Oreochromis niloticus: one gene and its partner. The protein of the gene in region 1 interacts with the protein of each later gene in a pairwise test. Links are inferred from orthologs where the notes say so. Each region holds a gene or a part of one and is shown in the gene's direction. Other genes may lie near its edges.

The links.
Region 2: the proteins of coiled-coil domain-containing protein 172 (region 1) and hddc3 interact in binary tests that used the Homo sapiens proteins (3 or more experiments, as listed by UniProt). The two-hybrid records come from large-scale screens. The link is inferred for Oreochromis niloticus from reciprocal best matches to the Homo sapiens genes CCDC172 and HDDC3.

The regions. Positions count from the first base shown.
Region 1 is NC_031978.2:4,575,651-4,584,011, reverse strand, and holds the start of coiled-coil domain-containing protein 172, read left to right. Parts: upstream 1-4,800; 5' UTR 4,801-4,939; coding exon 4,940-5,018; intron 5,019-5,201; coding exon 5,202-5,287; intron 5,288-7,513; coding exon 7,514-7,630; intron 7,631-8,219; coding exon 8,220-8,361. Other genes in the region: gfra1a (GDNF family receptor alpha-1a), read right to left, coding at 15-311, 787-826.
Region 2 is NC_031965.2:1,541,647-1,548,843, reverse strand, and holds hddc3 (guanosine-3',5'-bis(diphosphate) 3'-pyrophosphohydrolase MESH1), read left to right. Parts: upstream 1-4,510; 5' UTR 4,511-4,632; coding exon 4,633-4,744; intron 4,745-5,921; coding exon 5,922-5,977; intron 5,978-6,059; exon of another isoform or gene 6,060-6,064; coding exon 6,065-6,305; exon of another isoform or gene 6,306-6,351; intron 6,352-6,483; coding exon 6,484-6,614; 3' UTR 6,615-6,697; downstream 6,698-7,197. Other genes in the region: vps33b (vacuolar protein sorting-associated protein 33B), read right to left, coding at 101-175, 255-345, 837-923, 1,007-1,080, 1,270-1,347, 1,421-1,511, 1,629-1,733, 2,339-2,433 and 6 more. UniProt on the Homo sapiens protein: ppGpp hydrolyzing enzyme involved in starvation response.

The DNA.
Region 1 (8,361 bases):
AAATCTAAGCCAACCTTGTAAACTCTGATACATCCCCCAGTAAATGCGCAGGCAGTTCTTCTCCTTCTTCATGCCCCTTTTACACCGGCAGTTGTACAGCGGGCTCTGTTTGAGCGCGTCAATCGCGCTCCGGCACTCGTCCTTGGCTTCCAGGCCGGCCACCATGCTGAAGTTGCTCTCCTTGCCGCCGGCCACGCACTGCCTCATCGTGCGGTATTTGGTGCTGCACGCCTGCTCCTTCAGACACTGCTCATTGGCCCGCACGCAGTCCAGCCGGGCACGCAGGTTCTCCTCCGCGTAAGACAACACATCTGAAAAATAAAAGTTTTATCCGTCGCGTGTTTTCTCACTTTCCCAGTAAACACTGGAAGCTTAAGCAATTTTCAAGCTGCTTTAGGGATTAAAATATTACACAAATATGAGCTTTTATTATGAACACGCCACATGTAGGTCGCCACAAAAGAGTACACGGGCTATTTTTTGGACCCACTATTTTGGAGCAGTTATGCACATAGTTGCCTAACTGGCACTTTCATTCAGCTGAAAGTAGAGTATAAACTGCTGTCACATTCACTGTTGTTTGTTGAGGCACTGACAGCTCATCAGAGTTTTTCTTTTTGGAGCAGTTTACTGCACAGTTGCGACCACACTGTACTGCGAGCAGCCGATGCGTCTGCCGGGCACCTCTTTATTAATAGAGCGCAGAATGTCGCTACTAAATATTTGATGAAACTCTATAATCAATTCGAAGCGAGCAGCTGCTGGTGCGAATCAACTTAAACTTACCTAAAACAGGAAGAAGAACATAAAACACAGCGAGGATCATCGTTTTCCTCTGCGTGGGAAACAAAAACCCTTGTTGGAAGGTAATTTCTTAAGTTAATGCAAATTAACAATAGTTAAATTCCCAGGGTACTTCCACTGTATTGAAATCCATTGAAAAGGTGCAGCACTGCGCGCTCCTCTGTATACAGGACAGATCCGGCTCGCCTCATGCGAGAGATAATTTCCCCTCCAAACAAAGTGTCCAGTCCCGATTTCTGCTCTTTCTTTGACTCAATGGAGAGAGAGAGAGAGAGAAAGAGAGAGAGAGAAAAGAAGCGCTTCTTTTTTATGTCCTTCCCGGGCGGGTTTGTCTTCTCACCGCGAGGAGACAAAGACAAGGGATGAGAGCAGCGGTGGAAGGCGAAAAAACCGGCGAGTGTCCTCCAACTCCAGCCAGTGGGATGCTTGCGTCTGTGCGTCTGAGCGCACACAGCCAACTGGAGTCCCACTGCTGTCTAGCGCATTCAGCAAGGAGGAGAGTGCCAGCTTCCCCCTCGCGCTAAAGTACAGTAATCTGATCATAAATTTACAATGATAGACCTTCCCATCAGAGCAAACTCGCCCCCTTTTTTACCACAATCTCAGCACAAAAAGTCAATCGTGAACTTTTAGCCCACTTAACTGAGTAATGAACCAAATAATGTAGAATATGCTTTAGCGTTATGATAATTTTATTTTTAATAAACTTTCCATGACAAGTACTATTAAAATGGCCACTTTTGGTGTATTTTAACTGCTGTTGCGTGCACGTAATTACATTTTTTTTTTTTTTTTTTTTTTTTTTGTAAAGGGGAACCTGCTCTAACAACCATTAATGTGAATGTGAATGTGTGTGTGTGGTGTGTGTGGGGGGGGGGACGGGGGGGCTCGGTTCACATTTGACTGTGCATAAGCTGCACTGATGGGGAGAGGGCAGAGAGCATGGCTCCTGTGTATGTTTATGACATGATTGATATAGCAACACGTGGAGATGCTTATATGGCAGGGGTGTTTTGTTTTTGTTTTTTTAGATGTGAAGCACCTTTTGAACCTGGAGCGAGAAGGTGGGACGGATGTATTTCAGCTGTTTAGTCAATACTCCACACATATCACGCATTTGTGACTCCTCCCAGCTTCATATCGTTTTCATATTATTTGCAAATACCAAGATTAAAAGAAAAAAAGTGTTATGCAACAGTAGTTACCAGCTGTGAAGACAGAGGACTGTTAGGTGTTTGCTCATGTCAGAGGTATGATATAATGTTTTTGATAGTTGACAGCAGCCTGACAGCGCTGCGCTGGGAAAAACCTGCCCTCAGTCTGACACAGAGGAGAGTGGACACTGGGACACTGTCGCCATCTGTTGGTGATTTGAAAGAAAAGTCACTGTGGTGCTTGTGGTGATGGACAGCTCAATTTATTGTCACATGTATAGAAAGGCAACAAACTGATTATTACAAAAACAGGGATGACTGAGCTGACTGTGAGATGACTGTGTACTGTATTTATTCTTATGTGTACTGTATTTATTCTTATTGTATTCTAATTTTTGCTTCATAACTTTTGCACTGTCCACTTCCTGCTGTGACAAAACAAATTTCCCACGTGTGGGAGTAATAAAGGTCATCTTCTCTTATCTTATCTCATGATACATCATGGCACTGCACTCTTCCTGTAACTCACTGATTGCCTCTATGGTATATTTAGGGGCTAATCCACTTGGATAAATACGTATGTCAAGGAGCCTCTCTCTGCATTAACGACTGAGGCTGAATCAATCACGCATCCTGCGCCCACAGCAGTAAATCAACTGCACGTGTATATATATTTAGAGAGGCATGGAGCAGGTTCATTCACAGATGGGCTGTGAAGCAGCTGATTTGAACGTCAGTGACTAATCCCTTATGGAAAATGAAGTCCTGGTTAGGTTGGTACAGGTCAATGCTGCAGGCTACATTGACATGACACAGCCCAGTGTCCATGGATATTATTAAAAAGAGAACATGACTGGAAAAGAGACAGAAAATGAGATGAACGGCAGGCTCAGTCCGCACTGTGGGATAATTGTCTGCTTACAATTTGATGACTTTGCTGTTCTAACATCTCCAAAGGGAAGCTTGCCAGTCAGGGGGGAGGCTCAGTCTGGTGATTTATGAAAAAAGCCCTAATCAATATTTGATATTAATTTTGTAAATGAATGTCAGAATGATGTAGCCCTCTGGTCGTTTAACTGTTTTGCACAGTAATGTGTTTTATGGCACCGGATCAGAGGCTTTTTCTTTTTTTTTTACTAGAAACCTGGTCAAAGTCTGGAATTGTGTGACAAATGTAGGCAGCAGGTGTAGATGGATTACTCTGAGAAAGCTGACTGCGCCGATACAGCACTTCATAACACTCAACAGTCAGGCTGAGTGGGGACTGATAAATGTCAATGTACTGCCGGTCACTATAGTTAGGCAGTACTTCTCTAATTTATATTACCAGCAGATACAGGACAAGGATGATGACTCTGAAGAAGGAAAACGTCAATTTAATTGCTGACTTGAAGATTTAACACAGGTTGAGTTGTGATTTATCTGATAAATCCATGAACTATCTACAGTTAACTGAGGCTTTATCCGGGACATAAATAATTCGCTGATTGATTGTGTTTTTCTTTTTTTTAAATTTTTATTTACTTAGTGAGGATAGGTTAATTGGTAACTCTAAATTTCCCATAGGTATGAATGCGGGAGTGAATGTAAGTGCGAATGGTTGTCTCTGTCTACGTGTTAGCCCTGCGACAGACTGGCGACCTATCCAGGGTGTATCCCGCCTCTCGCCCTAAGACAGCTGGAATAGGTTCCAGCCCCCCTGCGACCCTGAAAAAGGATAAGCAGAAGCGGATGGATGGATTTAATTTAAATTTCCCAGTTTTTATGTATGTAGATGGGCAGTTTTTGAGGGTCCTGCACAGTATCTTAGCTGCTCTTCTGGACGGAGATGTCGGATGTTGTTCCTTGGATCTGTTGGAGCCACTCGCCTAGCTTGGGGGTCACTGCACCTAGCACTCCAATTACCACTGCGACCACTGTTACCTTCACCCTCCACATCTTCTCGAGCTCTTCTCTGAGCCCTTGGTATTTCTCCAGCTTTTCATGTTCCTTCTTCCTGATGTTGCTATCATTCGGTATTGCTACATTTATAACTACAACCGTCTTCCTCTGCTTGTCCACCACCACAACTATGTTCAGTATGTTAGCTTTTACCAGTTTGTCCATCTGTATGATGATATTTGCGGGTGTTACATACTGTGCAGGGGCCTGTCCTTTCATGATGGTTCCTCCTCTTGGAGGAGCAAGAGGGAACCATCATGAAAGGACAGGCCCCTGCACAGTATGTAACACCGGCAAATAGAAGAAGTGACTGATATTGAGAAATCCTACCAAGGGCCGGACAAAGCTGAACTGAAAGACAGCACAGAGGCACTAATCATAGCAGCACTGGAACACGCTCTGAGTATAAGATCAATAGAGGCTGGAGTCTACAACACTACTACTTACTACTTACTTACTAGCTTTCTATAATCACTTCCACTTGCCTGAACTTGACCTAATGTCTCATAATGTGACTCACTGATTATGTGTGTGTGTGTATTAAAACCATTTCTTCTTCTCCTTCTTCTTCTTATTAGTAGTAGTAGCGGTATTTCTTCAGATTTTGTACTGCTATAATGGAGGAATTTTCCAAATATAGAATCTATAAAGTATAAGAGTATAAAGTATGAGATTGATTTATTTATTTTCAAAGGAACAGTCTTTATAATATTTAATGTCAATATCATGATATCAAACGTCAAATTTAATTTAAAATAATTGAATAAGCAAAACTAAAACCAAACATTTTAAGGACACAATAAAAGCAATGACTCCTGTCTGGAAACTACGACTACTAAAACTAAAGCTAAATATACTGAACTACAAATACAAATTAAAGTTAAACAAAAAAACAAAAAAAACTAATTAAAAAATGTTGCAACAATGTCACAATTATAAGCTACCTCAGTCATTCAGACTCTTTGTCCTGACAGAAATAAGCCTCCTTAGATTAGATGGTTTGCTAGCTAACTGTTTATTGACCCAGCTACTAAGCCAACATGAGTTTAGACACACTTTTTCAACAAATTCTTTTAACTGAGCAACAGTTAGCAGAACAGACACAAAAAATCAAGGATGGTAAGTTTTGTTTATTTCTGTCAATCTGTTTGTTTTTTGCTTAATTATCAATCTTCAGCTAGCAAATAAGCTAACAGCTAAACGCTAGTGAAAATGCTAAATATAGATCTATACAGGCTACTGTATTTTAATGTTTAATGTTGCATCATGTGTTGTTGTTGTTGTTTTTTTAATGTTCTTTAGTCAAAATAGCCATCATCAGATGCAATGAGAGGATAAAGAGTGTCACTGAACAGTATGGGAAGAGCAAAGAGGAACTTGATGAAAAGGTGAAACTGTTGCTAGTTGATGCTAACATGTGAATTACATATATTTTGTGACCAGAGCCAAAGCCATAGCACTGTGTTTAAGATGCTTACATTTATTAGATTTTAGATATAAACCATTTGGTTCTTCAAATAACCCTCTGTGTGAATGGTTGTCGTAGTTTACTGAGCTTTAAACAGATTCATCATATATAATGTCTTAAATGATCTTGAACGGTGTTTATTAAATATTTACACAGTAGCTGTAAAATCATGTCATAGGGTGATGGAAAGTGTTCACTTGTTGCACTGTATTTTAGAGTGAGCCCCTGTAAATAGGTCTGTTTCATGGTACTGTGATTTATTACATAACAGCTTTATGTTTACACAGCTCAGTGCTCATTTCAGAGGTGCCATATTATTTAATTTCTAATAAAAATTAGTAAAATGTTGTTCCTGGAATGTTTTACCTGGGATTAACATAACATCTGTATATATAACAAATATAATTAATATTTATTTTTTTGTGGTTTCCAAAAGGAAACAGGCCATTCTACTTATCACCACCATTACAAAACTAAAAAAATGCACACATTGTAAAATATAAATAGAAACTGATGAATTTTAAAAAAAATCAGACATTGAACTATCAAAGCAGCACAGTGCCATATTGATGAGCTGATCTAGTTTATAATTTAAACACTTAATCTCTACCTTCTTTTATCAATGATCAATAGCAAATGGCACTGTAAAATCAATGGCTTATTTCCCCAAATAACATTACTGAGACGTTTCGTGATATTATGCCCCATTACAGAAACAAGAAAAAAAAGAGGCTCTTTGCTCTTTTCACATATATTGCAAGGACGACACCATGCCCGACTGATCATTTGAAAACACATGGCAGTGGTATCTTTTTTTTGACTATTGAGACTGTTTACATCATGCAGATATGCAGGCTGTGTTTACTGCACAGTGTGTTTACAGCTCTCATGATGTAAGGTCTTATGGTTTATGAGAGCTGTCTTAAGATAATTACAGTGTTTATAGGACTTGGAAGCTGATTGTGCTCACGGAAACATGCTGCACTTCAGTATTACAGCAGAAGAAAAGCAAAGCTACTTTCTCCTCTTTAGCTCAAGAAACAGACTGAAAATTGCACCAAAAGTTATGCCCAAGGCAAGAATCTACCTTCCTACATAATCGCTCTTTCTTTATGTTTATATCGATTTAAAAAGAGAATTTTTGCTGAACTAGTTAAAGAAACAGGATGTTTTTGGTTACATTTTCAAAATAACTCCAGTTATTATGTCTGTTATGTCTGTCTCTAATAGTCGGTTATAGAGTATATACTGATTGTTCCAAACTAGGGCTACGTTCACACTGCAGGCGAAAGCGCATCAAATCCGACTTTTTGACCCTATGCGACTCATATCCGATCATGGTATGACAGTGTGAACAGCACAAATCCGATATTTTCAAATCCGATCTGGGTCACTTTTGTATGTGGTACTGAATCCGATACATATCTGATGTTTCAGAAAGCGACTGCTGTTTGAACGGTCATGTCCCATTAAATCCGTCTTTTACGTCACTGACACAAGACAGACGCCAATTATCAGCACCAGAGAACTGCCCGAGAAGACATCGTGAACGCTTCCTGGCCATCCCGTGTAGATGTTAGTGAAACTGTTGGGAAGACAACGTTGGAGAAACGTGAACATTTTATTTGTACTGTATAATCTGCAGATTCTGACAGAAATCTGTAACTATCCTTTGAAGCACCGCTCCTCTAAAACAGCAATAAGGATAATTATTGGGCCATGTGTAAATAACAAAATAACTTTATAACTTAAGCAAAATTGGGAAACGTAAAGTCCAAAACAAGTCTTTATATTAAGGGCCATCAGTCAAACAATACTGTTTGGTCTGGGTCTAAACAGAGCGCGTTGTGTGTGACGTCTTCTTTTGCGCATGCGGGCCGCTTTTAGGGTTCACACTAGAGCGTGTTTGCTGTCACATTTTATTTGTAGTATGAACAAGCAGACAAAAAAATCGGATTTGATCAAAAAATCAGAATTGAGCATTAAGACCTGCAGTGTGAACGTAGCCTAGAACTTTGATCTCATTTCACCCCGTCTGGTATCAGGTGATATCGCTCACATACGAAGCATCACCAATCCATCTCCCTCGCTGTACATCTGTCTGTCAGACTGTGTGTCTTGATCATCTCCTGTATTTATGCTTCAGGCTCAGCAGTTGTCTGCAATGAGGCTGCAGTATGACCTGGCAAAGAAATATGAGAACCAGATGTTAAAGCAAATTGAAGAGCTGCTCTGTCAGAAGAGCCACCTCAGGGAGCATCTAGTAGGTTGAAGCCTGGATCAATACTTACCTCTCAAATTAGACAGGTTGTATCCAATATGGATACCTCTTCAGCTTTAATAGTTTAAACTTCTTGATTGAATCACAGTACTATATGGAATGACCCGATCAATTAATCAGTGATTGCACAGATCAAAAAAGTGGTACCCTTCAGAGATGTTTGTATTTTCGTAGAAACTGAGTTTGACATTTTAGAATTGCTTGTTTAAAATTCCAGAGGTTTAAACTAGGTTATGTAAAAAGAGTGTAAACTCAGAGCTTCATTTTAGAAGCGGGTAATTTTTTTTCTCATTTAGGATTATCTTATTTTTTATACTATCCCCACTTTGCTGCTAAAGTAACAATAGCTATTGCAAGCCCTGTCACAACCCGTTTTCACGCAGCAGGTAAAATGCAGAATGCCACCAAAAAAGGTGGCATTCTGCATTCAACACATTAAGCTCTTAGAGCAAAGATTTTCTTTTTTTCCAAATGTTATCATAATTATATAGTAAAATTAAGTCTGTAGTACCACAAGGTCTGTTATTATTGTTGTTAGAAGTATTTCCCATGATCCTCCTTTTCATACCAGAGCAAGATAAAGAGGGCGGCTAAAGAAGAGGAGGAAAACTTCCTTCAAGAGATCTCAAAGTTTAACAGTGACTTCAGTCTTAAGGCGAACAGAGAGACAGTCTTCAAGAGCCAAACTCACACTGTGCTCCTGGATCTGGAGA
Region 2 (7,197 bases), on another chromosome or scaffold:
ATGAAACCAACAAACATGGAGCTTGTTTTGTGCTTTCAGGCGTTAAAAGTCCCTTAAATGAAACGTGATTGGAACAAAGAGCAGAGCGGAGGATTCTTACAGTGTTCTGTCTTCAGCAGCTCCTGAAAGTCCTGCTTTGTTTTCTTCTTCATTATCGACTCACTGGCACCAATGTCTGGAAGAGAAAACGCTCTTCAGCAACGCAGCCGTGCAGATATTACTCAGAGTCAGCGGCACGATACTGTAACACTCACGCAGGCTCAGCAGTCGATGTTCCTGCTTTAACCCTTTCAGCTCCTCTGACACAAACGCCTTCATCTGCTTTATGTCCATCCCCCGACGTTTCTGTATAGTTATTAAAGAAAACCAGACAAAAGGTGTTAGCTATTATCCTCACTAATGCTGCAGGGTAACCTGACACTATGTAACTATGTAACTAAATGTAACTACACGTCGCATCAACACAGCCCACGACTACTGCGAGGGGTTCAGCACCGTCAGATCCTCTGGCCAATTTCCAGATACTTTTTTGTCGTAGTTTTTGAGACAATAACAATTATAGCGTCAAAGCGTCAAGATAAGGACTCACAAACGTCACTCCAGCAAATTCCTGGAGCGAGATCAATGTTTGCTGACCTAAACAGAGAGCGGAGACGCAGGAGCATTTTATTTGTTTCTATTGGCTGGCATCGCACATAAAACACGACCACAAGGTAATTAACACGTAACGCACCAATGCAAATATAAATGCCATTTTTCAAGGTTGTGTCGTACAAAGATTCTCTAAATCGAGCCACAGGTGCAATGATTGCTAAGCAGTATCAACATTCACTCACGTCATATGCAGTCTGCAGATTCCTGGCTTTCTGACTGAGAAAACCAAAGACGTTGGAGAAATGCTCATTTCTGATTTCACTGAACACCTACGAAACATTAGACACACTTTTCTATTAGAATCACGACAATTAGTAAAGCGCAGCCGACCGCAGACTAAGACGAGCCTTACCTTATCCTGAGAGTTCAGCATCACTTTCACACTTTTGTCAGAGGAGGTAACATCAGGTCCAAACTCCACACATCCTGCACAGTAGTTGGAATGATCAGACAACATATGGATATTTTTTTTTAAATCCCCCAGCCGGGGAGGGCGTGGCTTCAAAAGAGCTAAGAATGTGAGGGCGAAACGCTCTGCTCAAGAGGTCAGAGGTGACGTGTTTCTCTGAGGCAATAAAGTGAACGTGTAAATGGATTTGATTTACTGACACCTACCACATTTGATTCTAAAGATGTCATCGACGAGGCCTTCGTAGACAACTTGTGAGCACAGAGGAGTGACAAAGTCCACATCTGCAATGATAACGACGACATTAGAACGGGAACGGCGCGGCCCTCGTCCTCTGAGATCACCACGTCTCCTCACCTCTGTCAATAAGGAAAACATTCCCAATTTCAGCCTGACGAGCTTTTTGTTCTCCCTCTTCGACCTGCTCCCTCCATGACTCGTACGCCATCTGGGATCACACAGGATTACCATCAGCAACAGCCCAAAGCAGGCGACGGACAAACTGGATGTGAAAAAGTTAAACTGGTTTGATCCGACTAGCTTCTGGTTTCTAATCTTACGGCACCTTGGAGCAGCGCCCAATCCCGTAGACCTTTGAGAATGGGCCGTACAGGGAGTACAGGAGGTGGAGGGCACTGCCGGCGGTCCTCACCCAGCGCTGGTCTCCGGCCTGGAAAAATACAGGATTTATCTGCACCCTCAGAGATTTTGTGTTACACTTCTGATTCAACTACGGGCTTATAAATCCAGCAACGAACAGTTCAAATGTGATGATTTGTTGCACTATGATTATTAACACTACAACACCCAGACTTCCTTTGTGCTGTCAGCTTCAGATATGAGGAATTTAAAGAAAGAAACGACAAAAACTCAAAACTGAAGCTCGAGGACAAAAAGTGTGATGGAATGTAAATGGAATGAAAGTCACATCTGGACAAGCAGCAGCTCTCATGTGTTTCTCACAAAAACATGTTTGGATGTCAAGGTAAATAAGACGCTCTGTAAATGTAAATTATGTAAATTATGACGTTTTATTCAAAAGACTAAAACTGAATCAAACACTGATGCAGAGCAACAAGTCATGTGTGTATCCAACAAGAGCATGCGAGGCCAATATTCATTTTCTTTTCTTTGCTTTTCATCATTTGGGGGAAACAGCTGTGTACTGCTACAGAACCTCTTCACATTAACAAATGACGACTAAAACATTGACTAGAAAAGGATTTAAATGATCAGTGATCAAATGATCAATACAAGCAACTGGCCTCTACTAACCAGGAAGTTGTCTTGAAAGAATTCTGGCAGCTCCAGACTGATGATGTCATCATCAAGAGGAAGCAGGTAGAAAGGCCACTCATCTATGGTGACATCTACAGGAAAGGCAAAAACAGCTTTTACACTTCTCCTCACTCACACTCATCATTCCTGCAAAAAGAGAAAGATGCCTACCGCCAAAGATCCCCTGCTCCTCCAGCACGGCCTCACACGCATAGAACTGGTAACACAAAGAAGGGTCAGCAGGTCAGTATCAAGCACGCGAGGCATTACAAATACAGCACAGACACAAGACAAGAAAGAGAAATACCTTCTGAGGGGTAAAGATGATCTTGTATCTTCGGGATTTTCCAGGTACCTTGTCTGCGTTCACCACATCTGCAACAAGAAAGAATGCAGATGTCACTTCGCTTCAGCTTTCATCCATTTTCACTGGAAGACTTCATATTAAAACCACCAAGACAAGAGATGATAGAAAAATAAAAAGAATCTCCGTTTACCACATATCCATTTGACAGTCTGTATTCTTGGTCGGATCAGGAAACAGAGCCTGGAAAAAGAGCAACGCCACATTGTCAGGTGGGCACGTCAGGTGTGTGGTTACAATTCTGTAAGGTATGAAGGTGCAGGCTCACTGATCTGAGGTGCTGATAACAGGTTTGTGTTCCACTTTGTACAGTTTGTCCACTTCATGTTGCTGAAAGAAAAAGGGGGGAGACAAAAAGCTTTTAAAGACCTGCTGAAAGTGCAGTAATCCTGAAGAGATGCCCTATCAGAACAGGCAGGAGAGCAGCAGCTGATGCGGTTCACCTTTAGTGTTGATACATTTGCAATACGATCCAGCGGGCTCATCAAGTCTGCCTCAATGAAGAGGTCCTTCTTCCCGGGCAGCTGTGACACAAGAAAGGGGCTTGTAAGACAATCTGCTCTTCACAACACAAAAAGCATCCCTTGTTTTGTTGTAGTTCCTGTTTTTTGTCTTCACCGAGTCTGAAGTACATCACAAACTAATGCGTGCATGGCTTAGTCTGCACACAGTTTCTACACTTTCTCCACTGATTCTGACAATGTTCATTTTTGCCTAATTAAATAAAATTAAACTGTAAAACTGACTCCTATGGCAAAAGTAAACTGTAGTTTGGTGGGGACAATTTTCATGTGAAGACAGTATAGTTCAGCATATAGGAGTAATATTTCTCAACATAAAATCTCAAGCAAATGGCTGCAATCTTTGGCTTTCCAGCAGCACTGCATTAGAAATAGACATGATTCTGCAGCAGAAATCACTCCATGAGCTGGTGGGCACTTTTAAAAGCCACTGCCAGACAAACGGTTTATTGTTATCTCCATAAACACAAGTTATAATTCTATAAAACAAACAAGAAATACAGTAGACTTCATTAAAAGCACAGAAGGCCAAAGGAGTCTCTATTTTCTGACATCACTGAGGTCCTTCAACATCCACCGGACGCTGCTCAGGATGTTTGATGAGTCTGTGGTGGCCAGTGAGGTCCTCTGTGCTCTGAGCGATACCAACAGACGTGTTGCTCGTGAATGGGTGTGCAGTCAAATGATAAAGTATAATAATAAAAAACAAAAAAGAAGAACAGTGCCATATGCATGCTATACATGCCAGTCATATTACTGATGAGCATGTCTTCAGCAGAAGCTGTGACTTGCTCCTACCTGTTCCAGCAGGTAGATGAGCTGATCTCTGGCCAGCCTCTTGAGGATGGAGAAGTCGGGGAGCTCCGGGGAGTCTCTCCTGGCACTGTGAGCCATGCTGGACACACGACGGAGGCCGGACAACACTCAGTCATCCACGGCTGGCATAAACAAAGAAAATAAATAAATAACTCATATACAAATATAATGTTTAATAATGGAGATACAAAAACCAGCAGAAACATATAGAACAGTCAGAGATCTGTGCTGTGATTATCCTCCCTGCTGGCTTAGCTTCAAAGCTAAAATCACATTCATCACATAAATGAAGATATAAAGTATCGAATACGCTGACACTAGTGTGTAAAAATTTCCCCCAAAAATATAAAATTAATGCCAGAAATTTGACCGTTTATGTCTTTTGAAACATAACACTTTATCTTATATCTTATGTTAGCAGCTACCTGCTTCCGTAGCTAAATAACTGGAATGATCCCACGACCAGTTGTTTCCCCCCGGATCATAATACGAACGGACCGCCACAGTTTTGCTCGAAAGACGTTGAAAATTAATTCACCTAACAACGCGGTTTTTCTGTTACTGACCTGACAGGACGTGATTTTTACACCATGAACTCAGATGCAGCTTTATTGTTAGAAACTGTCCAATTTGCCGCAGAGAAACACCGCAACCAGAAACGTAAAGATCCAGAGGAAACGCCGTATATAAATCACCCCATAGGTAGGTGTGTTTTTACGGTAGTATGATGCATTCACGGCCTGTACGTAAACCCGTGAAGTCTCTCACTCTTATCTTTAAAAGAAAAAGAAAAAAAAGTTTCTGATGTTTAACTGATACGATACCGGAAGCCGTGGAAGGAGGGAGTAGCCGAAAGGAGCGGTACGATCAGAACTAACCAGTAAAGTTATCAGGGTTTACTCGCATACTGCAGCTATATCACTAATATTTAGTGTTTACCATTTTATGGCAACAAATAGTTTTGCAGAAACTATATTTCAATTAACACGAGTGCCTTTATTTTGATTCTGGTGATAATAGCCTGCCGTGTAATAGCGATACGTTATTTTTCGGCTGTGTGCTCGGCACACAGTGTATAGTCTCACGTTGGAGGTGGAGGACGATTGATCCGGTTTTTTGTTCAGGCGTACAAAACTAATGGCTTTTTGTGTGCAGGGGATTTAGCGGCATCTAGTGGTGAGGCTGCAGATTGCAACGAACCTAATATCTCCCCCACTACCCACTGCTCCGTTTTTCTTTGCTGAGCTAATGATAGCACTTGGCAGTGCTTTTCCTGTCAGGGCTCCAGACCACTAGAGCTGTGGGGGACTTAAAGGGACAAGCTTTGAAAGGATAAAGAAATGCACCAAAAATAATACTGAAAAACATGAATTATTTTCCCTCTCATCTAATTTTCCATGTATCTATTCTTATTATATTGTCTTTGTTTGTTTTTTTAACCCTCTCCCCCCCCAAATTTGTATTTTTACATTTCGTTAGACATTCTGCTTTATTATGCAAAAGAGGAGCTAGTGATTGTTTCAAAATATCTTTTGAGACTACAGTTCAGTGGATTCGTTTATTTTGGTGTTAGGCAGGAGTGCCATAGATGGGCAGCCAGTGATTAAGCTCCCTCCTTGTTGTCCCTGTGTGTAAAGGAAGTTTCTGGTGGTTCGTCCACTTCTTCTGTGTGAGTTTTATTTTCCTACTTACAGATGAGAGCTATGAGCTATGTTGTGTAGAAACTTAAAGTTCTGAAGGAGCTCTTCAGAGAGGAAATGTCTGATTATAAATGAGTTTTCTTGTTCTATAAGTGACTTCTCTTAGCAGCCTGGAAACAGTGAAGCTTCTTGTTTACTGTCCTCTCTGCTACTCACAACTTTCTGTGTGTGCTTTTAAGGAGTGGCGAGAATCCTCAGCCACGAAGGGGGCGTCACAGACATCGAGGTTTTGCAGGTGAGTTATCAGTTGTTAACTGTTAGTCACAGTCACGTGCACGCATTCTCACATCAGTAATCCCATGTGCTTCCTCCCGCTCTGCAGGCCGCCCTGCTTCATGATACAGTAGAAGACACCGACACCACCCCCGCAGAGCTGGAAGCTAAATTTGGGGTAACCGTGGCTCGCATTGTTCAGGAGGTGACGGATGACAAGAGCCTGCCCAAGCAGGAGAGGAAGCGTCTACAGGTGGAACACGCACCTCACTGCAGCCAACAGGCCAAGCTGGTTAAACTGGCTGATAAACTGTACAACCTGAGGGATCTGAACCGCTGCACTCCTGTTGGTCAGTACTTCTCTGGACACAGTGCTGTTTGCTACAAAATGGAATGCTGTGTAAAAAAATAAATAAAAATACAAAATGAAGAGGATGAAATGCTTTGGAACACTTTATTTATTTGGCAGAAGTGCAAAAGACAACATATCAAATGTTGTTCAGTTATGTTTCTGAATGTGTTTGGCAGGTTGGACAGCTGAGCGGGTGCAGGAGTATTTCCTGTGGGCCTCTGAGGTGGTGAAAGGCCTGAAAGGAACCAATTCAGCTCTGGAGAAGAAGCTGGAGGAACTCTTTAAAGAGAGAGGAGTCCAGCTCTGACAGCAGGGCCACAACACAGTGGAGAAATGCAAATAAAATGCTTTTTAGTTTGTAAATATTCAAAATAAATCAAATTGAATTTACATTACAGTGTCTAATTTTCTGTGCATGGTTTTGCAGGAAAGTTGAATGTCTGATGTTGTGGTGTTTAGTAGTTAAAAAGTAAAAGATGTTACTCCTCATTTGGCAATTGTAGCTTGTGCACTGTGATGGTCCGTTTAAAAATAAGCCTATTTAGATATAACACACATTTGCAGGACTGCATTACACAAAGCAAACAATTTGGCACACTATCACTATACATTTTATGCTCAGTAATTTTCTTTAAAAGAAAATAAATAAGCTAATATAAAACAACAAGGAGATGTAGTTCATTTGAGTATTTTCTCTTGAATCGACCTGATATCTCTATTTCATTAATAGTTTTAGTAACTCCTTTACATGTTACATGTCCACATTTAAAACATATCGGATTATTAGAAATTATTCTACTTTTTAACCAAGAAAACAATAAATAATTGAATTTATTCGTACAAAAAGAATGAATGTTTAGCTCAGCAGCCTGCAGATGGCGCTGTTACAC